Arabidopsis thaliana: one gene and its partner. The protein of the gene in region 2 interacts with the protein of the main gene of each other region in a biochemical or structural test. Each region holds a gene or a part of one and is shown on either strand. Other genes may lie near its edges.

Region 1 (4,927 bases), 1.3 Mb from region 2:
TCAGTGGAGGTGACACCGGAGTTTGTTTTACTGAACAAAGAACCTGAACCTGATCCAAATGATCCTTCAAAACTTGTCCAGAAGGAGGACCCTGTTATTTTACATACACCAACAGGTCGAATAATCAACTATGTAGAGGATGAAAAGCATGGCATTCGACTATTTTGGCAGCCTCCTCTGGAGGAAGGAGAAGAAGTGGATCCTTCAAAAGTTGAGTTTCTGCCACTTGGGTTCGACGAGTTCTATGGGAAAGAAGTGGTAGTGAAAAAGGAACACCCAATAAAAAGCTTTGTACTTGGAATCGAGAAATCGGTGAAGCCGATGCTTGACGGATTAGAGAAATGGACAGAAGAGAAAAAGAAAGCATATGAGGAGAGAAAGGAGATGATACAGCAAGAACTTGAGTTAGTAGAGGCTGAGATTTGCTTAGAGGAAGCTATAGAAGATATGGATGAAGAATTGAAGAAGAAAGAACAAGAAGAGGAAAAGAAAACTGAAATGGGTTTAACTGAAGAGGATGAAGATGTTTTGGTCCCGGTTTATAAAGAAGAGAAAGTTGTCACTGCCAAAGAGAAGATACAAGAGAATAAACAAGAAGAGAAATACAAAGATGATGATGATGAGGATGATGACGATGGTGATGATGATGACGATGATGATGATGATGATGATCTTGGGCCATCAAGTTTTGGATCTGCAGACAAGGGAAGGAGGAATTCTCCTTTTTCTTCATCCTCATTGTCTTTTGCTTCGTGTACCCTCTTTCCTGCGGTAATACTCTCTCTTATTTTTCAGTATAATCTCGGTTTGTCTCGATTAGAAGAAGTTAGTGTTGATATATGTAAACTTGGCAGGTACAATCAAGACTAGAAAGCTCATTTCTAGCATGGAAGCAACATCGAGCAGAACCATCAAAAGTGAACACAGGAATCATCAAAGGTGCTGATACCGCATCAGCTTCAATCCATTTTCCTCCATTGTCGAGTAACAATGCTAGATTGAAGATGGGAAAGGTAGCAAACCGAGGTTGTGTCCAGAGAAGCTATGGAAGCTCAAGATCTCAGTCTCAGTTAATGTCTCTATCACGACTACTTTCTTGCAACGCATCATCATCTTCTTCTCCTCCCGATAGCAGCTCCAGTGAATACCTCAAAGACTCCGGCCTCTGGGAAACACCGGTTGGGGACATGAGCGTGGTTTTGTCGCTGCAAATTCAGACAAAATGTTCTGATTTGTTTGCTGAGACTCCTGCTGTGTCTTGAGTCTCTCTTCTTCTGTAGCATTTAGCTCGAGTTCTTATGCACTTCAAGGCTTCTTTTTTTGGTGGACAAGATCATTTGAATTTTTGTTGTATTATCTAATAAATATTTTACCGAAACTATTTAAACGAAAAAACTGAAGATTTATTTCTGTTTTATTTTTCATAATCATATGATTTAGAGAATGAGAATCGAATAATCTCAGAATATTTAAGTTAATATTTCATTTATCAATTTAGAATCTTTACCAAATATGCAAATAATTTTACATTAACGCAAATATTCCAAAATAAAGGAAGCGTTACGAAATTAAGGGCAAAACGACGCCGTGTAGACTCTCGAAGAACCCTAAAGAGACTTCTTAAACCTCATTCGATTATAAAATAGCCCCAAACCCACTGCCTCTTTCACTGCAATTTCTCTCTTTCGCTTCTAAAAAAAAACCTAACAACCTCTCTTCTCTCTTCCTCGTTCAACAACAATGGAGTTCTGGGGTAAGATTCTTTATTTATTCCTCTTATATCTTCCGTCTACTGTTTCTATTTTCCACGTTCCGAGAATTTTGATCGATTGTTCATATAAGATCGTATTTAGCTGTATTTCGTGTATATGTTCATACCTTGTTGCCTTTGTAGCTTATTTAGGGTTTAGGTTTCACATAGAGCTTGGTTTCGGTATCAGCTTTGATTATGTGTAGATGTTTTACAAGTTGATGAGTGACTCATGTTTGATTTCTTTGTATAATGTTATTTAGGAGTTGCGGTGACACCAAAAAACGCTACTAAGGTGACTCCTGAAGAAGACAGCCTTGTCCACATTTCTCAGGTTATTTTCACACTTCCAAACTGTATAAAGTTTTTAGGATTTAGCTTAATACAGTCTCTTTATGTTTTGGTTCTCTTTCTTTATGTGTAGGCTTCACTTGACTGCACAGTGAAATCTGGAGAATCTGTGGTTTTGAGTGTGACTGTTGGTGGGGCTAAACTTGTTATTGGAACACTTTCACAAGACAAGTTCCCTCAGATTAGCTTTGATTTGGTTTTTGATAAAGAGTTTGAGCTTTCACACAGCGGTACCAAAGCAAATGTTCATTTCATTGGCTACAAATCCCCCAACATCGAGCAATATCCTTTTTTTGATAGATTTGACTAGGTGTTCTTTGTCTCTATATTTAAGACTGGAAGATACTAGAAGGTTTAGCTACAATGTCTTATTGGTTGTGTATTCCTTAATTCTTGTTGATTGAGTTTCCACGGATGACTTCACTAGTTCGGATGATGAGGATGTTCCTGAAGCTGTTCCTGCTCCTGCCCCTACTGCTGTTACTGCCAACGGTATGTGTTGTTGATGCTAATATTGTATTTGTTTCTTTTATTGAAAAGTTGTTATCTCATATGTCAATTTCTTTTGACATTTCAGGAAATGCTGGAGCAGCTGTTGTCAAGGCTGACACAAAGCCAAAGGCCAAACCTGCCGAAGTGAAGCCTGCAGAAGAGAAGCCTGAATCAGACGAGGAAGATGAGTCTGATGATGAAGATGAGTCTGAAGAGGATGATGACTCTGAGAAAGGAGTGAGTTTTTGTAGCTGTTTATGATATCTGTTTTTCTATCTAGAGTACTCATATATACAGTCAGGAGAAGATGAGTAGTTGGTTGATAAATTATATGGTGATGTTTTTTTGTAGATGGATGTTGATGAAGATGACTCAGATGATGACGAGGAGGAGGATTCTGAGGATGAAGAAGAGGAGGAGACTCCTAAGAAGGTAGATACATTGTCTATCAAGCAGTTCTTTGTTTACTTTACTTTTTACATAATTTAATTCTCCTTCTGACCTTAATTGTATCATATGATTTGTGTTAAAGCCTGAGCCAATCAACAAGAAGAGGCCAAATGAATCTGTATCCAAAACACCCGTCTCTGGAAAGAAGGCAAAACCAGCAGCAGCACCAGCTTCTACTCCTCAGAAGACAGGTGAAAAGATGAAACTCTCTTTGTTTTTGTTCCTTAGAAGCATTAGATAGTTAAATAATGAGAAAGCTTTCTTAGTAATTTGTTGTATACTCTGTTGTATTCTGACGAAAGAGATATCTTCACATTGTGTTGTTGGTACAGAAGAGAAGAAGAAAGGAGGACACACCGCCACACCACACCCAGCTAAGAAGGGTGGAAAGTCTCCTGTGAATGCTAACCAGAGCCCCAAGTCTGGAGGTCAATCATCCGGTGGTAACAACAACAAGAAGTGAGTTGTCTCTTTCTTTATCTTTCTCATAGCCCAAAGATATGAGTGAAAATGTTAATTGGTAATGATGTGTAATGGTATTGTGTGTGTACAGGCCATTCAACTCAGGCAAACAATTTGGTGGTTCCAACAACAAGGGTTCTAACAAGGGCAAGGGAAAGGGTAGAGCTTAAGGACGTGGATCAAGGAGAGGTTTTGGGTTTTCGAGTAGATGATGAAAACACTTGGAAGTGTGGTTTTGGATTTTTATCTTATTTTATTAGTATAACTTGTTATCGGATGAGCTATTTTGAGTATTTGCAATTTCTACTTTCCTATGTAATTCAGTATATGAATATTTGCTGAAATGAGAAAGAAGACTCGAATTGCAAACACAAATTGAGTTTATTACTTATAGAGTATAAACACCAAAATTGATGCATAATAGCCAAATCAAATTACCAAGCCTATCTTTGAAATCTAACAACGTTGATTTCACAAGCACTAGAACATCTCTGGAATGTCATGAGTTCCCTAACGACGAGAGACTCTTGTTCCTCGCTATGACAATCTCTGCATAGCTTAAACTTCTTGAGGACTAGCGAATTCTCAAGGAAATATTTTGATAGTTTCATCTCTTCTCCACTTCCATAGTTTGGTCGTATAATCTCAACATTCTCAAGGCTTGATTGCAAACACTTCGGCACTGATGATGATAGACTGATTTCTTCATTTTCCATTTCACCTTTCAGCTTCTGCATATGTCAATTATCCCAAACAGTTGAATAAACGTCTTTTATAACAGTGACAATGAAACATGTGGTTTTTAAAGCAAAATCATTTACCAAGACAAGTGATTTGAGATTTGGACAGCTCTCAAGAACGCATGGCAACATTTCCAAATCACAAACATAGAATTTCGCATGTAACCGCGTCATGTTACGAAACTGAGGCATCGGCTCGTGCTTCAAGTAGTGACAAATGATCTGCAAAACACAAAGAAAATGCAGTTTTCATCCTAAGAGACACATTCAAATGACCAGTTTTATATATTTGTATGCATATATACCTTCAAAGTTGTTCCACTAATAGTCATGTCCCTTAAGCTTGAGAGCCCGGTGAGAAATTTACCGACATTGCTTCTCTCGAACGACTCCTCTAGATCCCAAATATCGGACACATTAAAACTGACCTTGATATCTGCCTTTGCAGATGAACACAAATTGTTTATCACAAAACTCACTGACTGATCATCTTTAAGACTTAGATACACGAGCTGAGGAGCATCAATGACAACCTTCCAATCGTCACTATCATCATTATACCAACACTTGGAACTATCAATAACGAGTTTGAGACTGTTTAGTGACTGAGAGCTCACCCTTAAAACCTTCTCAGTGGCTTCATCTACATTTCTAACAACAGTTAAATCTTCAAGAACCGGGC
Region 2 (4,889 bases):
TATAAAAGGGCTAAACTAAACATGAAAGGATTATCACATCTTACTGTTCTAGCAACAACATCCAAAGCTATAAACTTGTAACAAAGCAAATTCAATAGAAAGAGTCTAAGAACAGTGAGTAAATATCAAAGGAGGAGTGAGTCATAATTGAAGTTACCATGGATTTAGATTTCCAAGTTTGTCCTGGAGAGAGAGACTTCCAGAAGCAAGGCTTGCTCACATTTGCTTGGATCTTCTCAATAGCATTCTTAGGCAACATTTTTCTTTTCAAAGCTGGATCAGTTCTGCAAAATTAGGGTTTGTATGATGACCTACTTGCATTTGTTCATAAAATTAGAGCCAAAAAATTGGAAAAGTAAAAAAAGAACAAACACTTTGTACGTACAAGGAGGAACAAAATATCTCTGGTCGGAAAAAATGAAGAAAAGTGGCGAAGAAGCAAGTAATAACGTAAAAGTAACGTCCCTAACGACAAACCTTAGGTAGTACCGCCGGAGCGTGAACTTCACGCTCCGTCGCAGTTGAAGAAAACTTCCTCTCGCTGCGGCTGCTCAAATAATTTAAAGTGACTGAGAGAGAGAGAGAGACAGTCAAAAGACTCATGTCTCATGCCAATATTATGGTCACTTTTTACGGAAATTTGGGTAAGAAATTATGATTAACGGGCCGAATAAGGCCCATTTAAAATACTGGCCCATAAAGTTAAGGATCGATAACAAAACGTAAGTTCATCAGTTTGAACTTTATCAGTAAACAAAAAAGTAGTAGAAGCTTGTTCAGGAGAATAACTGATTCCGGTAATTGGTCGCGTCACTTAGTGCATCAAATTGTGTAGTCAAGAATCGAATAGATACCGAAGCAGAGGAGCCACCACTGCTACACTTAAACTGTTTCCAAGCATTGCGTATCTGCACAAAGAGGAGTTCATGAGATTCATGTTCTTGTGTTCAACTATTTCCACATTTCAAACAGGAAGTACGGGAGAAATAAGGGTATTATGGGTTAAATTCTATATTCGAATCAAAACGGTGCCTCTGTTATACTTGGATGCACATAATCTATATAGACAGTAGCTTTTTCTGGCTTAGATGGTGTTGACGGTATGAACAGCGTACCTTTGTCGAAGGCTTATGTGCTTGGGGAACTCAAAATCTTCAGGGAATGAGTGAAAGTTAGCTACCTAAACAAATAGAAACCGAACATCATCTTTCAATGAAATAAAGCTGACTTTTTCAGTGAGGCATTAGTAGTAAAAGTAAAGGACAGTGCTTAACCTCTCTAGGGGTGAAGTATCTAAGCCGTTGCTCCTTCAAACAAGATTCCTTACCCTTGATTTTTGGCTGCGTGATCACAGATTCACGATAAGCATTTCTTTTCACTTTGCAAATACAGAGGAAAGTAATATTGTATACTCCATGGAAGAACGTACCTGGACAGTTGCCAATAGGGAACCTGTGCCCTTCACGTATCGATAATAACTCTTTGTGAAACAACAACATCTCTTTGAATCAGGGTAAACAATGTCCATTGCGTTTCCCCATCTCTCTATCAAACTAACTGGTACTAGATACTGATGTACAGAGTCTGGGACAGAATCGCCTTCTTGTCCACAACAATCTTTGGACCCATTTTCAGAGTCATCAACACTACTTGGCTCGCCATCAACATGTGCAGCTAACTCGAGAAACTTCTCTACTGGTTTGCAAAACTCAAGTAATTTATCCAATCCTTCTTCTGCTTGACATTTTCCAAACTCAACCTGATCATCACGCCCATATAACGGGTCTGGAGACCAGAGTAGTTTGTTATTACTGTGTTGGGACTTAAATGGCAGAGGTTTTCTTTTGGCCTACAAAGACACCAGGTAAATCAAATGATTTCAAAGTTAGTGACGTTTTAACTAAAACAAAAAGATTAACGCATATACATGAGAAAGTGCACACTACATGAGAAAGTTTCATAATCAGCATATACTTATACATTCTCAGACTACTAAAATTAACAGTTTTAGGTACACAGATATGCACTACGCAATCATAAGGTAAAGAGAAAGTACCAGGCAGAAATAACGTGGTCTTGAATACGGCACACCAAACTGCAGCGGACTCAATATAAACTCTTGTGTGACATAATCTAATTTTGTTAATGTACCAATCATTTCCATATGTGTATCCGAAGTCTGCACCAACAAACACCACCAATAAGCAAAAATGTCACGACTTCAAAGAAGATGATCGAGAACAAGTACTCTAGCTGGGAAGCATAAGCAAACACTATACCTCAAATCCAACAACATTCTCTACAAATAACATTTGTGGAGGCTTTGTTGTATGCGGTATAAGCTCAAGAATCCTGAGAAACGAAAAAGCCCGAGCATCACCAGAGTGTTTCTGAAGGCCTAACCAAAAAAAAACTGTTAGTATCCAAAAGCAAGTCATGTTGATAGTAAAGAAAACAACAGTGAAATGAATCACCTTGTCTAGTATAAGGTTGACAAGGAGGAGAAAGAAGCCAAGCATCTGCATTATACTTATCTAAATCAGCAGCAGTGAGACTCTGAATATTCCCCTATGAAAAACAACCAAAACAATAAGAACTAATCATGGACTAAGTCACAGAACTAGCATCATCTATGATTTGCAAATGTAACAATGCTTCTATTGATTATATCATATATAAGCATTAAGCAACCTGATAGGGACGATGTTTGAAATTATGTTGATAAACATCATTAGCAGAATCATTGATCTCAAAAGCTTCTACTACTTCTGAGACGATGCCTGACGCCATTAAAGAGTATCTCTAAGAGCAAAAAGGAATTAGGGTTTATGAGACAGAGTAGACTTCACTAAAAACATAGAATTGGAGGTGAAGGAGACTGTTACCATTCCACCGATTCCACTGTAGAACTCGAGAACTTGCCATGGCTTCTTCTCATTGATTCTCTGTAATTCTTGTTCCGCCATGCTTCTTCTTCTGCTGCTGCTTAAGCAAAATTAATTTGGGAGTTTTTGGTTATTGTTCTTATTCGTTTGGGTAAATTAAACCGTTTTTTTATATTGTTCTGTTTAGTAATAGAACCATACCACGCTTGTTCGGTTTATTGTTAGAACCATGTTTTTTGTTTTTTGTCGTTTTTCTTTATTAATTAGCAAGAAAACCCTCAAACTAGCCAATATGTTTCAAAATAACCCTCAACTTACAAAAAATAAAAAACAATCCTTAACCAATTTTTGTTTTTTTTTTCGTTAACCAATTTTAGTTACCACTGTTTTATATATTAAGGTTAAGGATATGTTATTTTGGGGAATTACATGGCATATCAAACACTTTGCTTTTTAGTATGTGTGAAAGTATGTTGTGGGTTTTTTATGTCTAATCTTTCATTTCATGGGGATATAAAATTAGCTAACAATCAACAAATTAACAAACAAACAAAAAAGACTCTAGCTAACATTGATCTAGGCTGAATCTTTGGACCTTCTAGTGTTCTTCATGTTCATACTATATGAACTTTGATTCCACGTAGGTTTGTTTGGATGGTTTTAGTGAGATTGAAAAGGATTGATAGAAATATTTTATAAGTAATTCATAGTTAGAGTGAGGTACAAAGTTGATTTACAATAAAATTGAGAAAGACCCAAACTACAATCTAGAAATTTAGGAATTGATTTTTTTATTTCGATACGCGAACACGGAACCTACAAACACTATCTATTTGATCTCCATTCATATGCGAGGAATTAATTACTCTTGCATTATTGATCATATGTAAGTAGATAAATTAACTTTCTAAAAACATTTCGGTCGCCATCGTATTAGTTGAGATTTTTGATTACTACTTATGTAAGTGCGGATGAGGTAATAATAAAGTGCAGAAAGTAAAGAGATAAGAAATTTGTTAACGAGGTTCGGTTTTTCCTACTCCCCGGGACCACGTCCAGATTTCGATTTCACTAGAACAAGAAAGCAAATTACAATGAATTCGCAAACGCGTAAAACAAGCACACCCCTCTTGATTTACCGCTCCCTTCTATAAACGTGAAACCTTAAGGATAATCTCTACCCTTAACTAAACTCCCCTGAGTCTAGATTTAATCAGGATAACCTAACCCTGAGTTAAACTCCTTCTGAGCCTAGACTTCAATTCTCCAAGTCTCTGGAATAACCTTCACGCACCAACAAACAAGCTTGATCACACAAGCACCAAACCCGCGAAACTATGTCGCATAAAACCGTGAAACTATGTCGCACACACCCTTAGAAAGCTCTCAATGATTTGTCTTTATGTCTCAGCTCTCCTGCCTCTCCAAGACGTCCTACCTCCTCCTTATGTAGCCAAAACGATTTCCTAATCACCATAGGAGAAGATTTCCTTTTTCCATAAGAAAAAGTAAATTTACTCTTATCCTTTTTCTCATCAAACTCCACTTTCATCAAGTCTTCCAAATCTCTTTAAGTCCTTTTTCTTTTTTGATTCATCCTCTAAACACGCTCTTCTCAAATCTTCTAGAAACCGATACTCACACAAAACTGTCGCATCCTGAATTATTTCTTGAATCATTCAGCAATTTTATCAGATAAAATCATGTATTACTTCTTGTATCATTCAACACTTTCATCAGCAGCAGCTACATCTTCAACTTAGTCCTGTAATTTATTTTCTTAACATACAATTGAATTCAGCTAATCGTCCTTGCGAATGATCAAATGCATAGATAATTGTATCATCCTAAATAAAAGACGTGGGGAAATCATATGACATCTAGAACTTTGGAGAAGGGGGAGATAAGTGATGATGCATGGAAGCATTTCCCAAAGATAATCGAATAGATTCTCTCTTTTCTTTTGTGTTCGTCAGTTTTTCTTTACCATTCCCCGAGACAATA

Evidence for each region.
Region 1: the proteins of DNMT2 (region 2) and HD2B form a complex in vitro, tested with the Arabidopsis thaliana proteins (one study listed by BioGRID).

Annotation. Positions count from the first base shown.
Region 1 is NC_003076.8:7,532,380-7,537,306, forward strand, and holds HD2B (histone deacetylase 2B), read left to right. Parts: upstream 1-1,566; 5' UTR 1,567-1,740; coding exon 1,741-1,753; intron 1,754-2,013; coding exon 2,014-2,084; intron 2,085-2,174; coding exon 2,175-2,383; intron 2,384-2,513; coding exon 2,514-2,593; intron 2,594-2,678; coding exon 2,679-2,830; intron 2,831-2,944; coding exon 2,945-3,025; intron 3,026-3,125; coding exon 3,126-3,234; intron 3,235-3,375; coding exon 3,376-3,502; intron 3,503-3,596; coding exon 3,597-3,675; 3' UTR 3,676-3,948; downstream 3,949-4,927. Other genes in the region: emb1211 (MORN (Membrane Occupation and Recognition Nexus) repeat-containing protein), read left to right, coding at 5-771, 855-1,262; AT5G22660 (FBD, F-box, Skp2-like and Leucine Rich Repeat domains containing protein), read right to left, coding at 3,949-4,236, 4,327-4,467, 4,551-4,927.
Region 2 is NC_003076.8:8,869,234-8,874,122, forward strand, and holds DNMT2 (DNA methyltransferase-2), read right to left. Parts: upstream 3,030-4,889; 5' UTR 2,967-3,029; coding exon 2,886-2,966; intron 2,803-2,885; coding exon 2,692-2,802; intron 2,569-2,691; coding exon 2,475-2,568; intron 2,399-2,474; coding exon 2,280-2,398; intron 2,180-2,279; coding exon 2,057-2,179; intron 1,850-2,056; coding exon 1,430-1,849; intron 1,341-1,429; coding exon 1,275-1,340; intron 1,181-1,274; coding exon 1,116-1,180; intron 909-1,115; coding exon 836-908; 3' UTR 632-835; downstream 1-631. Other genes in the region: AT5G25475 (AP2/B3-like transcriptional factor family protein), read right to left, coding at 158-259.